Linked DNA regions of Lepisosteus oculatus. The protein of the gene in region 2 purifies or fractionates together with the protein of the main gene of each other region. This does not show direct contact. Links are inferred from orthologs where the notes say so. Each region holds a gene or a part of one and is shown on either strand. Other genes may lie near its edges.

Region 1 (6,884 bases), on a different chromosome or scaffold from region 2:
TTATGTATGTAATAGTATTGAATTGGAAACTTGTTACAAACGAGTTCTCTGCTTAAGGTGGCACAACCTGGAAAGGGCAGGTAAACATTCTCTCAAACATTGGATTGTATTAGATCCATTGTACAGTATATTAAATACCTTATATCACAGTCTGTATTTGTTATGTAAGCATACAAATGTACAGGAGACCCAGTAGTGGTAGACTTCATTCGAAGAGATGTGCATCTGTTTGAAGGACTTTGAACTTCACCAATAAATGGAAGGTGTGTCAGTAGCAGCAAATCACTGATTAGAAAGTGCCTAATGGGGCCTCTGGGTCTTTGTCACATCATGTTCCTGCTCACACGCAACTTTCTGAGCCTCCATGAATAAACAGCCTCCCTGCAGGTAGAATAGCCCGTGACCAAACAGGCATAATGAGTGGTGTATAGAAAAATGTGCAATTGCTTCTTCCTGCTTTTCGTAAAATATGTCATCAGTTTGCACCTCATGTTATGAGGCTGCACTCCATGTCCTCTGTACAATTTAGATTTATGTAAAAAATGTAGCTCTGTGGCTAAAGATCTGTGCCTGTGGCTAGAAGCAAGGTCCTTAACCCCAGCTGCTCCAGGGGCACCGTATAAATGGCTGACCCTGCGCTCTGACCCCAAGCTTCTCTCCCTGTCTGTGTGTCTCATGGAGAGCAAGTTGGCGTATGCGAAAAGACAAATTCTTAAAACAAGAAATTGTATATGACCAATAACGTGATCTTATCTTATCTTAAAATACCCCAAAACGGTGAAGGAACCTTGCACAGTGCATGTGGGTTTTTTTTCTGTGCTTTTTCAGCATATGAATAACTGTCTGACTTGTACTGACCTCATGAGATATTCAGAATTGTGGGCTTCAACCTGCAAAGATGTTGTCACCTGAGAGCAGGTTGATCTCTGTGATGAAAGCTTCAGGGGTTCAGTCCTGGGTCGCGTCACTAACTGATGGTGACTGAGATTTCCCCTTAGTGTTTGCGCCAGATCTGGCTGAGCACCACAGAAAAAAAAGGGGTGGGATTAGTAAACTGGGGTTCTCTCGGGTCCCAGCAACCCCCCAGATTTCCTGGGTGCTCTGGGGGAGGTGCTGTCATGTAATTGGGGTTCCGTAGCCAGTGAAGAGTGGAAGGCCTTGAAGGCAGAAAGGTAAGAGGAGTCTTCATACACTTCCTCATTCTTCCATGTGAGGTTGCGGGGTTCATAGCCATTAGCTGAATCAGGTAAAGTAAAAATAGGTGATTCTAAAATTCAAACAAAAGACTCCAAATGGTGTTTTACTGCCTAAATCCAAAGGTGCAGTGAAGGCAATGGCACTTTTAATTAAGGTGATTTTTTCAGATTGTAAAATTTGGATATATAGGCTTATAGCTGAGTTAAAACACATATTAGAAAACGTATTAGAAAACATATTAGAAACTTTAGCTGTAGTGTAAACCGTACTCCTCATATAATAAAGTCCAGCTCATTTTGTGAAACTGTGAACCAGATTCCATCATATTTTTAAGGTACCTAGTGTTCACATATTTTAATCCCATTACATGACTGAGCACAACATTCTTAGGAATCAGTCTGGATTTGTCATCTACTGTTTGCACATTCTGTAGGTGTTCATATAATCTCATTTCAATTCTAATATTCATATCTACATTTCCTGTCACTAGGTTTGTACTTTAATTTTATGCTTTCGGAAAATGGGGAGCATATTTGGCACTGAAAAACGTTGAAAATCCTCATCTTAATCTTTCGAAGGCATTTCCACGTCAGTGCTTTAGAAGCGATCATGTAGTCTAAAATTCAAGGGCTCGCCATAGCATTACATCATAATGAGCTATGAGTTTTATTTTCTCTTGATTACAGCCTTGTTCTTCACCTCAGGAGGTGTGTGCCTGTAAGGCGAGTAAACATGGCCTTCCTGTTTAAAATGAAAACAATAGGGAACAAAGCAGAAAAAAGCCATAGAAAAAAAACCCCGTAAACTGATCCCATTCAGAGCTGGCTCTTCAAGAGTGAGGGGAGGTGAGTTTTCCAGGTTAACAACTTCCAGTCTGGATAGGGGGTAAGCCCTTTTGCACACTTTTGGGAGGGGTCTTCAGAACTAAAATTTTACCTAAAAAAATCCCAACAAACACTTAACAGCTCGAGTCAAAACCCTAAGTACCACAAATGTTCCTTTAATGAGGGTGGCAGCTTGTGGTTAATGGCATTTCCATACTGTGAATCATTATTTTAACCACTCAGCTCCTGCCTTTCCTAATATACATTGAGGAGTGGTGTCGATTCCTTCTGCAGGCTTGCAGCATCCGAGATGAGTAAAGTCCTTGACTGTTGTGGTTCTGTTCCTTATCCGCGAAGGAAACTCAGCTGCTCCCAAAGGAGTAATCGGCCGTTAACTTGTTCCTATTAAAAGAAATTAGGCAAAAGGTTATGTCGTTATATATTGTGCAAAATCAAATTCCCAGGGAGCTGGACAATAAAGATTTTGGGATGTGCAGCACTTGCCAGAAGTGTGTTATTGAAAAAATTCCAGTAAGACTTGTGGAATCCCAAGAGTGCTATCTGGTAAAGAATGATATCTTCTCATAGAGATAACATAGGTTTTGAATTTATACCTTAAAATTGATCTTATGTATCTGCAGCCCAATTTATTCTCACCATATGTGTTAAAATAAATACTGGTGTATGTACATTCATGCTTATTCTCAGAATATAATTAGTTTAAATGCCTTTCTGTAGCACTCAACCAAGAGTTGAGTTCACCTCTTGTCATTAAGGTTCTACACAGCTCCTATTCTGACTTCCTTTGTGGTATAACAGACTTCTACAAGTTGTCTTGCGTGCCCTATCATATAATCATTTCAAATATTGGAGTGCCATAGTAACTTATTTGAGTTTATTTGCCCACTTCGTGTTGATATTCTTCATTTTAGCCAAACACGTACAGTACTACTATGTTTGAATCACAGCTTTACCATGACTAAGATTTCATCTTTTGAACATGATGCAATTTTGTTGCACGTGGACCCATAATATGTTTTATGCCACATCTTGACCCACATCTTGTAAAGCTCTGGGTTAGCATTGGGAAAAAATAAAAAATACATTTTGTGCTAACCTGCAGTCTAACCAGGTGGTCTGATTCATGTGGTAGAATTAATGGATTCAAAGAAAATTAATTTTCTAACCTTTTTTCTGTTTTTTAGAGATGATCTTTCGAAATTGCTTATGACTCTATGTCATAAGCTAATTTCAGTACAAACTTTGATCCACTGCTTAATAATGTCATGAAATATCTTACTTTATGTGTTTTTCATCACTGTAAAGCAATTTTTCCTCATAATAAAATAGTAATTGTATTGTTTTTTGGTCTTAAAATTCCAGTATTTTTTAACTTCCAACTGGAACCACGTGCTTCTGTGATAGATTCCCATGACTCTTACCAGGAATAAGCAGTTTTTAGATAATGGGTGGATGTAATTGATCGAAACACATTCACATAAGTTTAATTTCAGATATTCATTAAACATTTCAGAATATATTATTTTCAGGGACACAAAATTGTAAATCTTGTTCAAATAGTGCTTAGTTAACATTCAGACTGTTTTTTATTTTATTTTATATACATAGTAATAGTACCAAAGTTTGCTTTCATATGAAACCACCCAGTTCTACGTAAAACAACTGCAGGATATTGGCAAGACAAAAAAACTCACAACAAAAAACATTATCTGTCCCCCATCAAGAGAAGTGCAACTGAGTGTCTGTAAGTAGGAATGAAGCAACAGGAAGTCATCTGCGTTTACTAATACTCCACACTGAGGCCACATGATTGTTAGCTGTCTGCACTTTTGCTAAGGTTATGTTGTGTCAAAAGCGGAAAATGTGTGTTTTAGTTCCTACTAATTGGGCAAATCCACCAAGGGCATTACCCACTTGCTAAAAGTCAAAAGTTCATCGCAACCACCTCAATGGAAAAATCATAAATTTTGGATGCCAGATGTCACAGCTTTTTAAAACAGTGTATGGTGAGTGCTGACCCTCGTCTTTTTTTATTTTTCATGGAGTGTTAGTGAATTGGTTCCCTAGCATCAGCATCAGCATAAGTTCTGCCAGTCGGCATTTCAAAACATCCAAAATGTGGAGGGAAAAGGAAACTATTATAAACTAGTATAACAAAAGCAAAAAAGAAACTTTTCACACGACTGTAACGGCTCTTGAATTAGCCATGGAAAATATATTTGTGAAGTTTTAGAAATTGTATAAGTTTGCTAAAACCTATAACACCTAAAATTGTCCAATTCTGGTCCAGCAGGGCGGGTGTGTCACAGCCCTCCCTTAGATCAGATCTCATCTCAGGATCAATAAGAAATATCTGTTAGTCGAAAGTGTCTATGTATTGAAATATGAAATATGTCTATTCTTTAACAAGCAAACAAACCTCTCAAGTAGTTTATGTCTGTTGCTATTAAAATATTATTTCAGCTCCTACTGTACGTGGAATACTAACAATTTAAGGGAAGAAATGTCTGATTTGGTAAATGATTCAAATTAGATAAGATATTAATTTGGAAAATGCAATAAGCTCGGGGGGTTTTCCCTCAGCTTCACATTTTGTACCACCCTGCTGATCGAAGAAGGAGGTTATTTCAAAAGCCTACCGTCGCGTTTCAGCGATGACCTAAATCTGAACTAGCCTGGTATACAGAAATGTATCATTTTTCAAAATGTAGAAATTTTGAAAGGTTGCGCGATGAACTAACCTGGGCAAAGAAACGAACTGCTGCCAGGGTCAGGAGTTCACAGCCTCTTCTGTTCAAGAGGCAAAACCCTGCTATTGGTTTTGAGGTTTCTTACTCAGCGCCTCAGTGTGTTCTCTGGGCTTTCCACTGTAGATGAAATGATTGAAAAAGCAGAGGTGTATGTCAGGAAGCTGGACAATTTTTACATGTAAAACCTATTCTGCACCATATGATTTTGAAACAAATGATTTGTGTTCATCTGTGAAGTACAGTATAAATAAACTTTTTCTCACTGAAAGTTATTTTTTTGTAAAGATGTCAAACTGTAAAGATATTCTCAAAGTTGACTCCATTTATCATATCTTTTTTTCTTTACGCATTTGATAATGTTATGTGTCTAGACAGCTTGCAAGAAGTATTCTAGTTCTGATTGCACAATAGTGTACAGTGCAATACAGGGTGTTCTTCATAGTAAGCCCTGCTCATATTTTGGAAGAATCTTGAGAATTGTGTAGGTGTTTCTTAAATATTATTTTATTACTGACATTGTTATCTAGTTCCCTTTAAATATTCATTGTTTCTTCTTGGATTAAAAGAGGTGATAATATGTATGCCATTTGTAGCCAGTTATTTTATTGTATACATCTGACCTTCGCGTATCCATGTGGAAAATCTATACATTGTTTTTTTTTCAGGACAGTCACCAATGATAAGAGGCCATTCTGGTGATGACGATCATTCGGTTCCGTTTTCTTCACAGTCTCACTACTAATACTGGGAACAAACCCCCAAGTATGAAATCCCCCTAAACATTCCCCCCAGAAAGGGATCATTTACAATTGCCACTAAAATTTAACAGTTGTGCTAACTGTCATGCTACCATGGTGCCAGTGTTGAAAATGTAAATGTGATAAATCAACCAGAAACTAAAAAAGATCCCTACCCTTTTATCTTGATATTTCTCTTTCTATGACACTTCAAACATAATTCCAGTTCTTCATGTCTTAGAAACAGGTGGCTGTGATAAGGATATGAGAAAGGTTGTAGTTGGCCCTTTCTGCCCGTTTAGTTGCTAGTAGCTAATTAAACTGAGAATCTCAATCGGGAATTTTTTGGAAAGAAGACTGGGCCTTGGCATCAACAGCAAGGCTCGGGATCTTGTTCCAGACTCCCACAACCCATTTGGAGGTTTGGAGATTTAGATCTGTTGTTAACAGAAGTAGCTGGAGTAAATGGTGACCTCTTGTTTGGAACCCTTCCTGCATTCTTCTTTAAAAATCTTATCTTCCCTTTGGAAAGTGTAAATGAGTCCATTGCATTGTACGCTTTGATTATTACATTCATGTTCTCCAGACATGTTTGTGAAAAAACATTGTCACACAATAAAGGCATCTCCAGGACGGATACGTAATAGCCTTTTCAGTGGCACCTGTCCTAGTTTCCCTGCAAACAATCTGTTTTTGAACTAACTGTTCCAGGATTTCCATCAGACAGGCACTCAGGAGTGTCACACAGCTTTACATAAGACATTTCTTCGGGAAAATAGGCCTATCTCTGTATGGAACAACATTTAAAGTTCTAACAGTCATAAAGTATACGCAAATGTAAAATATCCTTCTTACAGTATCCATTCCCAAACATTTCTGTCAGCCTTGTCTCCTGGCCATGAAGTTAATTCAGACCAGGATTTCTGTGGCATAGCATCAGAAATGTAAATATGATACTATCTCTGAAGATAATGTAGTTTCCACTCAAATCTTAAATATCTATGCATTAGTCAAGGATTAAATTGATTAAATCAAAGCAGACAAGTCGGTGAAATATCTGAAATTATTCAGGTATTTTCTGATGTAGCTTCTTTTTGTTGTAGAAGCTATAATGATTACAATACAACTGACAAGAACATATACTAAATTGTAAAGTTTTCTAATTCCAAGAAGAGAGTTACAGAGTAAGGAGATCCAAACATAAATAAAGGTTGTTGTGAAGACTGGGCTAGCTGCTTGTTTAGTCATATTTCTAGGATGACTTATCCTTTTTCAAGATATTGCTGAATGTGGTCAAACAGGTTGCACCAGTGTTAGCCCTGTTCTGTACAAAGATGGTAGCTCTTGCTTTTGTA
Region 2 (7,034 bases):
AAGAAATTTGCATAGACAAACTGGAATTGGGATACGGCTGTGTATTTGCGTGACGGGCTGCGCAGCTGGAGCAGAAAGCTCACTCACCTGCGGGGTTGGCGATGGCGATGGGCAGCTGGTGCATCTGCAGGCCGGCGCTGCTCAGGGTGTTGAGGTTGATGGTCTGCAGGCCGGACAGCTGGGCGGCGTTGACCGTCACGGCGCCGGCGGGGCTCTGCGCCAGCTGGGGCAGGGACTGCACGGGCGCCAGGGTGATGGTCTGGGCGCCGGCGGGGCTCTGCAGCTGCAGCGTCTGCCAGCTGACCTGCCCGTTGGGGCCCACGGTCCGCAGCAGGATGGGGCTGGTGTTGGGGAGGGTCTGGAACTGCAGGTTCTGCAGGCCGTCCTGCGTGGCGAAGACCTGGCCGGTCGGGACGGCGCCCGTGTGGAGGGTCTGGAGGGTGGGGGTGCCCTGCAGGAGCTGCTGGGGCTGGATGATGATCTGTTGCTGCTGCTGCTGCTGTTGCTGTTGTTGTTGTTGTTGTTGCTGCTGCTGCTGCTGCTGGGAGTCCCTGTTATCCTGCGGGCTGCCCTGCAGCTGCACGGCGCCCCCCGAGCTCTGGTACCCCGAGACGAGCCCCCCGTTGCGCTGCTGGGCCTGGACCGTGGTCATCGTGGTGCCGCCAGCCGCGAAGCCGCTGGCGCTGCTGACCGACGGCGCGGAGGTGACGACCGAGCCAGCGCTGGAGAAGTACACCCCCGCCGCGCTGGACACGGCCTGCTGGACCTGCTGCTGCTGCTGCTGCAGGGAGGCGCCCGAACCCGCGTCCCCCGCCCCGCCGGCCGCGGCCTGGCCGCCGGCGCTGACCGGCAGCAGGGTGATGTTGCCGTTGAGAGACAGGGGCACGTTGGCCAGGAAGGAGCCCTGGTTCTGCAGGAGGTTGCTGCCCAGGCCCAGGTTCTGCAGGGGGATGGCCTGCTGGAGCAGGTTGGGCATGGCGATGAGGTTGCCCCCGCCCGCGCCCGCGCCCCCCGCCGCCCGGATGATCTGCTGGCCGCCGCCGGGGGACGAGACCAGCTGGAACTGCCCGGCGGAGTCCTGCTGCATGCTCACCTGGGCAGAGGCACCCGTCGCCGTGGCGAACTGCAGCTGCTGCCCGTCCACGGTCTGGAACTGGGGGATGACCTGGTACTGGATGTTGGGCATCACCCCAGACAGGGTGGTCAGGACCTGCTGGCCCTGCAGGGTGGGCGCAGAGGCCACCACGAACTGCTGCTGCTGCTGCTGCTGGCCGCCCCCGGCACTAGTGGCCACCGCCGGCCTGCCCTTGCCCGCGTCCCCCCCCAGCCCCCCGGCCTGGCTGAGAGTGGTGGCGCCCACGGAGCTGGGCACGCTGACGGGGATGAGCTGCCAGCCGTTGGCCGTGTGGGCGATCTGGGCCGAGTTCAGGTCCAGCTGCTGCTGGTGCTGTTGCTGCTGCTGCTGCTGCTGCGGCGGCGGCTCCGAGCCCGCCTGCTCGCCCTCGCCGGGAGACTCCATCCGGCTGCACGTCGCCGCCAGCAGAGCGAGCGGGGAGGTCTGCTGGGAGTCCTGCAACAGACACCGGGGTGGGTGGGGTTACCACGGCCGGCGAAAAGGGCGGCCCACGCGTACCCACCTCTCCACCCACCCGCGCTCGCTCCCCCCCCTGTCCGTTCCCCCTCCAGCGCCAAGCCTCCAGTGGGCTGTGCGGACCGCTCTGAGAGAGCGGAGCCTGCGACGGGAACACCCCGGCTCCGCACGCCCCGCTTTTCAAAACAAGCATGTGCGCAGGGCGAGAGCGACAACAAACCCGGCCCCCCATCGCCGCCACACACGCAAACACACCACCAGCCTCCCCGGGTCAAGCAACAACGCCGGAGCCGCCGCCGCAGACCGGCCGCGGTCCTCTCCCTCCCCAGAGCACAACAACACAGCTCTTCCCTCGCGCTCTCGCCCCTCGCGGGCCCGACGCGAACGCGGAGACCGGCGAGGAGCCGCCGCTCACCTGCCCCGAGCTCGCGCTCCTCTTCGCGAGGCTCTGAAGGAAAGCGGCGCCGCCGCTCTCGGCCAGGGCAGCCATCTCGTCTCGCGGCTGTTCCTGATCTGAGGGAGAGGGAGGAAAAACACAGCGCGGAAGGGGGTAATACTAGGCAGCCAACGGCGGAATATTAATTGAAAAGAAAAAGAAATCGGGTTTCCTATGTCGAATCCGCAACCGTGCCAAAACGACCACGGAAAAAAAAAAAGTATCGCTCCAACCAAAAAAAAATCGAGAATTGATCCGGGTGTACCTGGGTTTCTTTTTCCTCACATGTTTTAGCGTTTTGTTTTACGCCAGTAAACGCAGTGATCCACGGCCAGAGATTAAAAGCAATGTGGGGGAGATATTCCGAGTGTTATCTGAGATCATATTGTTTTTTTTATTCGTGCTAAATCTGCTCTTTGTTGTTATTTGTCGAAAGGAAAGTAGTAACGATGAACGGCTGTTCTTAAGTGTCCGTTTCGACGAGCTACCCCCCCGTTTAAACTCCTCTTCAGCCTGATCCAATTAAACATCGAACTTTTAGGGTCACCCCAGTCCTCAGTGAAAGTGGAACGACGGAAAACCCAGCTTGTTTAATCTTGAGGCTAAAAAAAACTTTAAAAAAGAACAGTCCTCACGAAACCCAGACCTCTTTCTACTTCAGCGGGTTTTTGTTAGAATACGACTTTATGGTTTTATTCATTATTTTCTAAAGTTGCGGAGCTTTTATATTTCGTTTTCTTTCTTTCTTTAATTTTCGTCTTTAAAACAACGAAAAAAAGTTTCTTACCACTCATTATGTTCTGACGGGAGGAGTTTCTTGGGGTTCTTGAGGGGCTGACATCAACTTAGAGACGGTGCAACCAAACCCCGCGGCGCCACAGCACCGAGGGAAGAGCGAAAGCCCTCTTCGCCAATCAGAGAGCGCCCTGCTACTACGACAGCCAATCGGATTTGTCTGGAGGATGTCTTTACGAGTTCAGTCTGGTTGTGTCGTTGGTCGTGGGTTTGGAATGTGTAGCGAGATGGAAGCGGAATTGTATCCAATCATCACTCTGAATGTCCGCTGAGTTGCCAGTAACATCCAATGGAAATGGAGCTTGGGGGCGGGTATTTGGGTGGGGTCAAGTTGGGTAGGTTGTACCGTTTACGGAACGGCTCAAAGTCTGTACAGGAGGGAGGATTTTCTTTTTGGCGGAAAAGGCGCCATTAGCAAACCGTGCTTGCTGTGGTTCTAGTATTTATGAAGCGGATGTCATCCTTTTCTTCCCTTTTCTAGCGTTTGGAGATTTTTTGGAAATCAGTCACAAATGATATTGCATTACTATATTATTACATTCTTTAAAAAGCGAAAATGGTCTATAACTGTTTTAAATACTGTTATTTTTTTTAAAATACAGTATCAGAAAGCTTTTTTATGCAATAACAAAACGCACCACTGTGGGTTTTTAGATACATGCATGTTGTCCCAGCCATTTTCAGTTCAATTAAGTACCTGGGAGCCCAGCCTCGAGGAAAACCAAAACAACCGGTTCAAATCTATATTTTAAAAGGACAGGCTTTCTAGTCCAGTTAATTAAGTTCATCATCTAACCCAGCTGTTTTCTAAAAAAAAAAAGCCAAGGTTCTTGTTCTGAGTTTGTTCCACTCTCCCGCTGCCCTTTGTGTAATACGAACGTAAGAAAGGAGGCTGATGTTTCGTGTTTCACAGAGCAACTCGCCTGCCTTTGGGCACTCCTCTGAAAGTGCAGACTGGCCATTTAGGAGTTTCACCACTCGCTCGCTGAGTGAAAGTCCACCAGGGGTAGGCAGGCTGGGGTTTAATTGTCCTGTCTGCCCCTCCCTGCCCCGGACACTGCCGAGGGGTAAAGCTCTGTACTGATCCAGCGGGAGTCCCGTCTACGATCCCAGTGAAACCAGCACAATCCAGCAGCACCCCGGCTCCTCTCATTGTGAACTGCGCTGTTGCCCCCTCCACCCTCGCACATACACCTGCAGAACGGAGAGGCAGCCCTGTAACCAGGGTCACGGTCAGCTCACACTGGCTGCTGTTTTATCTGCTGGGAACTCCCGTGTTTAAAAACATACGTGGTAGGTCCGTGTCCATGTAGACCTGCCCAAGGCAACTCGGTGAGCTTCCTCAGCCGACACCGAGAGAGCTACCTGCGAGAGCATTTAGATCTGGGGCTTCTTTACACAAAAGGGGGGTGGGGGTGTGGAACAAGCCACACAAACGATACCCTGACCTTTTAGAAGAAAAGATCCATGAATTACTAACAAACGTTCTAGATGTTCTGAATGGCCTCCTCTCTCTTGTAACCCTTCTTGAGCATGGGTTATGCATTAAGCATGAAGCATGAAGTAACCAGATAATGCCTTAACTCTTGCAGTGAGGACACTGCGGAAAAAGACACCCACTTTTCAGGCTCGTGTGCTACCTGACGGGTGCCAAACGCAACGACGTGATCTGGCCCGCAAATGTCCAAAGACCGTTTTGTCTTGTGCGGCTCCTACGCAGACACACACCTTCAGGAGTGCGTGCGAAACGCGAGCACGGTCCAGCTAGTGTATCACAGCTCGGTGACATCGTGGTCAGAGAGATGTTAAGCGCTGTGACAGCCGAGTCTCCGATACTCGTGCGGGGTTCTCTTTCCTGGGCGGGCGGATTATGAATGAGAGGCAGAGACCTCGCGCTCCTGCGGGCCCCTCCCTGTGCGGCGCTGGAGGGCTGGGAGAGCGGTAGGCGGCCGTGGGGGAGGGGCAGCGCCTGAGCCTGCGAGGGCAGGAGAGGGGGTGGGGTGCTGGAGGGTGTACCCAGAAGCACATGCTTTCCAACATGTAAACAGCGGGCTTTCCGTGGGGTGGAGTTGACGAGCGGGGGGTTTACCGACACAGCCTCCTCTCAGAGCTCTTCGCCAGCGGAGCCACGGTTATCGGGCTTTTATCCGCATGTGTCTTATGGGCTGTTTGTTTTTTATTCCAGTTGTGTTTGAAACGATTATTCTGTAGCCATTGTTCTCTAAACCAGAGGGCGATGGGCTATTTCTCCTCACTGAAGGATTTGCAGTTAAATAACCCCCTCCCCCCACGCCTCTGAGCGTGGTTTCGGTCTGTTGAGTACTGTGGTCGCCAAGTTGTGTAATGGTATTTTTTCCAAGGAATTCAAATCTTAACTCCGACAAACTGTGTGAACGCCACGTTTCTGGCCTGTTAACAGTTGAAAGGAGGCGAGAAAGGCAACAAATTAAAATGATAAGAAAGTATTTTTCCCCCAATGTGATCAAAGCGGTTCAAACTTAAGTTACTGATTGATCTAAATCCCATCAAGCGGAGGTTTGAATTCCAAGCGCCCTGTTAATTGGCGTCTAAGGGCGAGTCGATTGTGTAAAAATGCTGAAGACCTGTTCTGCATTCAACCTAGCTATGGCTTAACGTGGTAAAGGCTGATTTAAACGTAATAATTGGTACTGTCCGATCAAACTGAAGCATGCAGAGAGAAGAATTCATTAAAACTAAGAAATCGGGAACAACACACGTGAGACCTGCGTAGAAGACACTAGAAAAAATATTGAAAGATAGCCTTAGTGGTCTCCCAACAAAATTGGAGATAACCTATTGCATTGGTATATTCCCAAATGTCCAGTCCTGTTCTCTTCAGGGTCAGAACAGAATTTCTGAAGGTTTAAAGTTAGCTAGTTAGGACATCAGTGCTTTATTCCTGGCCGATTGATAATGGTTATAAACACTTCGCTCGCCGACAAGCCGCCTGTTATAAACTAAACAAGAACGCGCTGTGAATCTTATCGGATGTAGCCCCCCCGTCTTTCATTAAGATATGGAGTGAGAACTACCGTTATTCTTGATTTTCCATGTTGTCAAACATGTTATGGCTCTGTGATAATGCTGACGACGAGGCTTTCGATTCGATTTCCAAAATGTGCACGACAAAACCATTATTTTTTTAGAGTTCAACAAGAAGAGACGTGGAAACGACGGTCTGTAAACTTTCTTTTAAGACTAGCGTCTGCTGTCACCGTCTGGACATATGTTGGTATTACACCTCCAGGAGCTCCAGTTGGTACTCGAGTTACGTTGTGCTTAGAAGACAACGAAAATTCTAAATCATACTAATCCTTACGCTTATCTAGCTCTTTTTTTCAACAGAAAGCACTTTACATGTAGTGGGGACTCCCCTCCACCACCACCAATGTGCAGCCCCACCTGGATGATGCGACGGCAGCCATAGTGCGCCAGAACGCTCCCCACACATCGGCTATCAGTGGGGAGGAGAGCAGAGTAATGAAGCCAGTTCAGAGATGGGGATTATTATATATATAATAATAAACTTTATTTTATATAGTGCCTTTAAAGGTGTCTTCTTAAAGCGCTATTAGGAGGCCATGATTGGTAAAGGCCAATGGGAAATTTGGCCAGGATGCCAGGGAAACACCCTTACTGTTTTCAAGAAACGCCCCTGGAGAGTCCCCACGGAGAGTCGGGATCTTGGTTTTACGTCTCATCAGAAAGACGGCGCCTATTTGGATGCTTCACATTGGTGGTGGTGGAGGGGATCCCCATTACTCGTAAAGCGCTTTGAGTGGAGTGTCCGGAAAAGCGCTATATAAGTGTAAGCAATTATTATTATTATTTTACAGTATAGTCTCCCCATCACTATACTGGGGCATTAGGACCCACACAGGTGAGCGCCCCCTGCTGGTCCAACTAACACCTCTTTAAGCAACAGCCTTGTTTTTTCTCAGGAGGTCTTCCCCTCTAGGTACTGACCAGGCTCACATCTGCTGAGCTTCAGTAAGCTGCCAGTTGAGAATTGCAGGGTGATATGGCTGCTGGCGATAACTCAGTAGTAATAATCGAACGGTGGATATCGTGTTGTTTGAGCTAATCACTCATACTAGCAGTCTGCAAATGCAGATGAACAAACAACTATCCTACGATTCTGTAAAACGCCACAAATTGTGATATAACTATTATACAAATAAATTAATAGAA
Region 3 (7,521 bases), on a different chromosome or scaffold from region 2:
TGGCCCGAAATTCCCGAGCTCGCGCCCTGCCCGTCAGCCGGGACATCAGCTCAGGGCACCTCACCGGTCCTCAGACAGCGACCCCACACTTGACCTGCTAGCTCCTGTGCCCTGGTCTCCGCCCTGGACCGATGCAACCGACAGACAAGACCGGGGGGGCCGCAGGAGGACAGGAGGACAGGAGAGCCGAGGACGACCCCCCCCGCACGCGCGTTTGCGCGTTCGCCGGAAAAAGAACTTCTGCTTTTCTTGCGAGTTCCTCAAACTCTTCTCAGAAGACGGGGCTCCTTGAAAAAGACTGGCTTGCACAAGGCTGACCACAGCGCAGACGAAAAGAGAGAAGTGAAAACAGCACTCCTCCCAGATGGGGTCTCTCACGGCCGGGCCTGGACCTGGGCCCACGCCGGCCCACAGGGACCCGCGCCGCCAGCAAGACGAGGGGAAGAGGCCCACGGAGCGTGTTGAGGTGCAAACACCAACACCGGTGTTTATATCGCTGTACTGCCCCGTTAGAAAACCGGAAGAGAACCGAGAAAAGGCTCTGAACCAGGAGTGCAGGAAACCCTTTTACACAAAGAGTTGTGGGTGTGGGGAGCAGGGTTTCCAGTCAGGTGGCCAATCCTACAAGCAGCAGCTGGACAAAATGGGTGCTTAATGACCAAACGATCAACAGCCTCGTCCTCTTTTGCAGTCCTTTATTAAGTTCTGGTAAAACTCCCACATTTCCAATGTTTTCCGGGTTTTTGTTTCAACCCGAGCAGTCGATTAAGCAATTAACCCCATTATTTCCCAAATGAGCCGTATATAGGTCTTTTACAGTCGATGACACAAGACAGTCGCTTCATTGAAGGTTCAGTCACCTGGGAATCACCTCGGCGCGCGGACAGAGGCGTCGCAGTTCTGCAGTTAAACGATTAGGCCGCCGAGAGAATGTGGGTGGAACAGAAACCAGACAAGCTGCATTCCTGGAGGCCTGGAGCTGGGACCAGCCTGAGACATTTTCCACTCCAACACTTACAATCCACAGCAAGGAGATGACCAGGCAGAGGGGAGAAGCTCAGGGCTGTTCTCTCTGCTGGCCTGGGACAGGGAGGGGCAGGACAGAGCCGACCTCCCCACCCCCCCTGGACCGACAACACCGGGGTCACGGGTCCAGAGGCGCGCAGGGCCCGGCCCGGCTGCAGGGGGCGCACAACCTGCCAACCCACCGCCCAGGCGTTCCCAGGAACGCAGCGGGCGAAACGGGGATCGATCCCAGTCTGGGCCCGGAGCGATCAATACCGCGCAGCCGAGAACCTCCCCAGGCTGAGCTCCGGCCTCCTGCTCTGGCCCGAGCCCTGATCACAGCTCTGCAGCGACCCGCGCTCGGCACTGGTGCTGGTACTTTATTAGCCCTATACAATTTCTCGCATTAGGAATTCGTCTTTTCACATACCCCAGCTTTTCTCCATGGAGACACAGACACACAGACAGGGAGAGGAGCTGGGGGTCAGAGCGCAGGGTCGGCCATTGTACGGCGCCCCTGGAGCAGCTGGGGTGAAGGGCCTTGCTCAGGGGCCCAACAGAGTAGGATTCCTCTGCTGTTTGCGGGATTTGAACCGGCAACCTCCCAGTCACAGGCGCAGATCCTGAGCCACAGAGCCACAGCTCCGCCCCGCCTCAGCAGTCCTGTTCAATTCAGCAAAGGCGTGAGCCCCAAACTTACACACTAACCCCCTCACTCTCGGGGTGACCTCAGTCCTGTCCCGGGCCCACGGTCCCTGCAGAGCAGAGCCGCCACTGTAATCGCCCCCTGCAGCCCGAGCACAGGGACACACTGCTGCCCCCCCGCGGGGCGGGCGGCTCCACCCGGGACACTCTCGCGAGAGGGGCCCCACGCGTGGAGGAGGGTCCCCGGAGGCCGTGGACGGAGCGACTGTACCCCACCTGCGCAGGTGGGACAGGTGTCTACCTCCGCACAGGAGCGCGCACACGCCAAACGGCTGTTTTCCCAGTGTTTTTAGAGACGCTTACAACAACAAGACGGATCTGGGATCTGTTGCGGGCTGGGAGGTTTAGCAGCTGTCAAACAGAGTGGAAACAGGTCCGCGGTCTCGCTGTCCCACGGACCGAGACACAGGCGGGTGCAGAGCAACTTCCAGGACGGTACAGAGCACAGACCGGCCACACCGTCCCGCGAGGGGGAAGACCCACGCAGAGCTCGGGATCCCACGTACACATCAACATCACCCCCCTCCTCTTCCTCCACGCAGAGAAAGCCCCTTTCAGACCGGCAGTCCGACCACGGCGGAGGGTGGAAGAGATTTTCAGAAGCCGAAGGACACGCACACGCACACGCGCAAAAAAAAACAAAACTTCTTGAAACGCCCCGCGGCCCCCAGCCCGGAGCCCGCTCGGACAGCGCGACCGCCGCCTCAGCCCAGCCGAGCGGGGGGACCCCGGGACCCCGCCGGACCCGGCGCCCTTCCTCCACCTGGGGACCCGGGAGCGGGGGCTGAGCGGACCGGCACCGCGCCTCTGCCCGCCTGCTTCTGTGTCTCTCGCTTTTGGCGGCGAGTTTCTCGGCCGGAGCCGCCGAACTCTTCTTCCTGTCTCGTCTCGTCTCTCCCCGCCCCGGCCGACACACCGAAACTCCACGCAAGCGGCGCGGAAGAGCGCGACACTGCAGCCCGAAAGTTTCGCTGCCTGCAGATCCGGCGGGTGGGGGCCAGTCCTCTCGCCGCGGCGGGGGGGTTATAAGAGTGGGGAGCCGCCGCTATCGCCTCGCACAAAAAAACCCAGCTCGCTCACCTCTTGCAGCTGTTGGCAGCGACGCCGCGGTGGCCCCGGGTCTCGGCTCGCTCCGCTTCCTCTCTGCGCTCGCTCGCTCTGCCGCTCTCTCTCGAGCCGCGCCGCGTGCTGGAGGAAGTGTCTCTCTCGCGCTCGTCTCGCGCAGCGGCACCCGCCCGGCGCTGTGACGTCGCTCAGGTGCGGCTCAGGCGGCAGGCGGGGCGCGCTCACTGGCCGGCCAAGGTAGGGGCGCGCTCCACTTGTACTGCCACCTGGGAGGAGGAGGAGGAGGATGGGGGGGGCAGCCCGGGCCGTGACGAGTTTCGGGTTTTCTTCGCTGCAGTTTCTGAGCGTTTCCTCCGGCCGAGCAGATCGCAGGAGCTCGTCGCGATCCCTGCGGGCTGACGCGCTCGCTTCCCGAGACAGTCGAGCGAAAGGTGGGTTTGCGTTCTGGGCGGGTTCGGAGGCCGGTCGGGGACTCCCCGGGACACCCACAGATCCCACCAGTCCGCCCGTCTTCCGTGACGCCCAGGCTCAAACAACAGCTGCCAATGTCTGAAATCCAAACAAAACGTATAAAACATGATGAAACACTGATTCCACAGGGAACTTGACCGTTCCAGAATAAACAAACGCAGTATAAATGTACACAGTACTGAGCTGGAGCGGAGTAAGAACTGAGAACAGCGGTTCTCAGCAGCTTCTGAACACAGAGGGCTGTGGGGGTGTGGAACAGGCTGCCCAGCTATGTTTTCCTTCCAGAACCAGTAGGGTGAGATTCTGACCCCTCTGGTTTGCTCTTGCTGTGACCTGAAGCGCCAGGCCAGTGTACCTGTGTGAGCAGCAGACCGACTTCATTAAGGAAGAGTCACAGATGACAGAAGCCCATCTAGCCCCTTCGGGAGTTACAGAAACGGGCTCTGGACTTGGCTTGTCCCACACTCCACTGAGCTCCGTGTGGAACTCTGTGTTATTTTGTCTGGCTGTGCGGCGCAGCCCAGGAGCTGGACTGGGTCCCCAGCCGACGCCAGGAGGGCACTGTACTGGCTGGACTTGTTCATTCATTGCTGACACTATTGGAGGGTCCGGTGAAGTCGCCCGGAGCTCCACTGGGCAGCTGGCCGCTGGGCTGGAGCTCAGGGGAGGTCACGGGGAGATCGTGGACCCTCCTCGTGCTGAGCCACCAGCTCACTGACCGACTGGCCAGGGACAGAGTGACCCCCGCTGGGCGGACGTGTCTCGCTGACTGGCCAGCCCAGGGGGCGCTGCTCTGGGCCGAGGGCAGCTCCGGCGGGCTCAGCCCCTCCCTCCCGCGGGGGTGCAGAAGTCAAGCCCCGGCACGGGTTCAGAGACGTTTTGAAACGAGCGTTAATCTCTTCCGAAAAGGCCGTTTCCGGAGAACCAGCGTGGCTCCTCCTGCTACACTCCGTACACGATCACTCTCCAAGTCTTCCTATAATCCGAGAGCAGTCCTGGTCAATCTCTCGTGTCCTATAAATGTGTCACGCAGAGAGAGATTGCCAGACACAGCATTTTTGACGTGGTTCATTCCTGTCTTCTATGTGAAATATCACTAACTCTCTCTGCAAACGCTCCACGCGTTGATGGAGCCCACAGGTGCCCGTCTCTCCTCCTCCGCAGAGCTCAGCCCAGTTCAGAACGAGACCTCTCTGATGGCCGAGGGGCTCAGCCTGCACGCCAGGCTGGTCTCTGCAGGCCAGCGACCCGGGAACCCACACAGTCTGCTCTCCGCTCTCCGGCGCACAGGAGGGAGGTCAGCACGACTCGCCTGAAGATGGCAGCCGAGGGAGCTGTCCCAGCAGGAAGAGCCTGAGCCTGGTCCCGGAGGGCCACGGTCCAGCCGGCCAGCTAGCGGGCTCAGGTGAGGCAGCAGTGTCCAGCTGTGGTCCCTGAGAGAGACAGGAGAGACAGGAGAGACAGGAGAGGGATTTTCAGCTCACAGGGTCTCTAAAGTCCTTCTTGCACCAGGGCACCTGCCTCACTGGTCACAGCCACACCCTCACAGGAGTCTGGGGACTGATGGTTTAGGGGTGACCTGAAGACCCCTGACCCAGGGGCTCCCCAGGACCAGGGCTGGGCACCCCTGGAAGAGACAGACCAGAGAGACGCAACAGGGGGACCAGGAGGGAATGTGACGAGACACTGTGAAGGTGGGAGGACAGACAAGATGGTGACAGGGGAGAGAGACAGGGGACAGCTCTTCTGTCTCGGGAATGTGAACATCTGCACCCCTCCTGACCCGAAGCACAAGGTTGTCCAGGCAGGGATGTGGAGTGGGAGTGGGAGTGGGAGTGGGAAAGAATTCCAGACAGGAGCCTGTTTGGAGAAAAGGCCTAAGATCTGCAAAATCGTAAGAGAGGGCTGCTGGTTTAGAAGAAATAAACAAGTCAACTCATGAGTCCTCCGTGACTCAGCAAGTCCGTGTGTGTGTGTTTATGTGTGTATTGTTCTGGGAACATGACTGAATTTCGCCACCACCTGGAAGTTATGACAGCACGGGTGACTGTGTACTCTCAGCGCTGGGATTCCCCGCTGGGCTCGGAGCAGGAGAGACCCGCAGGTGATCAGGTGCCTGTCAGCTTGGGCGTGGGGGCGTGGGGGCGTGGGGGCTCGGGGGCCACGCGGGGCTGAGTCACCACTGCGCCGACAGGATGATCTCAGACTGCAGGGATGGCGTGTGGACAAGCCGCATCACTGTCTTCCGAAGGATTCGCACTTCCTGAACCCGGACTGCAAGCCTGCGTTTCTTTTTTTAATTAATTGTTAACAAAGTTCACACAGCGTCCATCATTAAGGAACAAACAAGACAGACAAGAGAACAAACACACACCAACAGGGAAACCCCAGCATGAAAGGAAACCCTTTACAACATCATAAAGATACAGATCAAGAGATCTCTAGCTTTCTAGTTACATAGCCCTGTCTCCTCTCCAGATCCAGCACAGCTCCCCTCCTTCCTCAGTTTGTTTGCTGTGATCTGCTGATTGTCCTGTACTTATTTTTAATTAATAACCTCTGGCCTTGATGCGGAATGCAGGCACCTTCCTTGTGGGATCAGGGATCGAACTCCGGAACGGGCAGTTTGAAGCAGCCAGTCAGAGTATCCTGTGTGTCTTTGGAGAGGCGGGAAGGATCCGGAGGGCCTGGAGGAAAGACAGACAGACACAGGAGAACATGCAAACTCCACACAGACAGGTGTGCAGTGCAATAAGCAGCCCAGAGAAGGGCACCCAGATACATTCTGGGGTTTAAGCGACTGTCCTACACTGGGCATTCTTATTGAAGGAAATAAACCTGTTCAGTCTTTAAGAGATAGGAACAGGTTTCACAATCCTCAAAGCCCCTGACAATGTCAAGCCAGCAGATTTCTTCCGAATCAGCTGCTGGCCTCAGTGACTCATGAACCAGAGCACACAAGTGGAAACTCTGTAGAGATGCTTTAAAATCCGAAAACAGGAGGCACGTCTCTACACAAAGGGTTGTGGGGGTGTGGAACAAGCCGTCCAGACGCCGTGGAAAATGCTGACATTTCGGATTCTAGCAGGAACGACTCGGTGGCCTCATCCCGCTTGGAACCTGTCTTGTGTTCTAATGATTTGCGTTAGTAGACGGTGTTGCCGTGTTACAATCTCCATATACAGGAACTGGCTCAAAAACAGGGCTGACCCAGAAATGTCATCAGCTCAGTTTGCTCAAGCCCGGCTGGTACTTCATGTTCAGCTTGTTCAGCCATCCTCCTCCATCCTGTTCAGAGGTAATCGGGCGGCTCTTCTTGGTCTGACCGTCGAAGACGTCTAATAACAGAGCAAACGATGTTCTCGCCCGCTGCTGACCCTGTGTGCCCTAAATGATGCTCCCAGAAAGAGGTATTCGTCCCTGCTGCACTTGGGTCTACCTTCTGATTCCGAAATTAACATTAAAGGAAGGTGTTTTACGCACGCCACACATTTCATTAGAGCAGGTTTAAACCCTTCCCTCTCTCTCCTTTTAAAATAGAAATGCAACACCCTGCAGTGAAGGGCTGGAGCCTTTATTTATCTGCGTGCTTGTTCAGACTCAGGTGGCAGGACAGAAATAGCCCTTCTGCGTGGCCCGAGCGCAGGTAAACTAGGCCAGGCTGTCTCTTCCCCCACTGTGCTGAGCGCGCTGCACTGAGGTGGACTGGGGTGGACTGGGGTGGTCGCAGATCTCTCAGAGCCCCAATCTGCCTTTGTTCCTCCAGGCTTCCGGCTGTCTGTGACAAGCTGCCCAGCCAGGCTGCTGAAGCCGATACCCCGGCTTCTTTCGAAGAGATGGCCGCTTGAGATCCTGGGATCAATGAGCTACGAGCTCCCTAACAGGATAGATGGGCCTCTCTTTCGTGACCTGTCTTGTGCTCTCAGGAAGGGAGGGCAGCTGTCTCCTCTATGTACGCCTGGACTGGGACTGCTGCACTGTGAGCCCTCCTGGTAGAACAGCCACTGTCGGGCCTCGGACTGAAGAGCTCCGCGGGCCGCCACAGCCCCAGAACCAGTTCCAGACGAGACCAAAACGGGCTCCACAGAGTCCTGCCATCCCATTGAGTCCAACATCGTTCTTTTGCTTAGGTTGTGCTGTAAAATTGCACCAAGAGACATAAATGGCTACATATGCTAATATAGCTTTATAATATTATTGTAATAAAGAACTGCTACCAGATTCTTCCACTGTCACCCAACACTCCTCTGTACTGAACACATCCCTGCCATAAAG

The links.
Region 1: the proteins of sp1 (region 2) and pparg purify together in Homo sapiens (affinity purification with western blotting; 3 studies listed by BioGRID). This does not show direct contact. The link is inferred for Lepisosteus oculatus from reciprocal best matches to the Homo sapiens genes SP1 and PPARG.
Region 3: the proteins of sp1 (region 2) and protein kinase C delta type purify together in Homo sapiens (affinity purification with western blotting; 3 studies listed by BioGRID, with this or other methods). This does not show direct contact. The link is inferred for Lepisosteus oculatus from reciprocal best matches to the Homo sapiens genes SP1 and PRKCD.

The regions. Positions count from the first base shown.
Region 1 is NC_090699.1:62,232,106-62,238,989, forward strand, and holds the start of pparg (peroxisome proliferator-activated receptor gamma), read left to right. Parts: upstream 1-3,871; 5' UTR 3,872-4,048; intron 4,049-5,457; 5' UTR 5,458-5,490; coding exon 5,491-5,554; intron 5,555-6,884. UniProt on the Homo sapiens protein: Nuclear receptor that binds peroxisome proliferators such as hypolipidemic drugs and fatty acids.
Region 2 is NC_090696.1:17,809,675-17,816,708, forward strand, and holds the start of sp1 (transcription factor Sp1), read right to left. Parts: upstream 3,004-7,034; 5' UTR 2,822-3,003; coding exon 2,815-2,821; intron 2,105-2,814; coding exon 2,007-2,104; intron 1,571-2,006; coding exon 88-1,570; intron 1-87. UniProt on the Homo sapiens protein: Transcription factor that can activate or repress transcription in response to physiological and pathological stimuli.
Region 3 is NC_090699.1:66,104,247-66,111,767, forward strand, and holds the start of protein kinase C delta type, read right to left. Parts: upstream 3,014-7,521; 5' UTR 2,791-3,013; intron 1-2,790.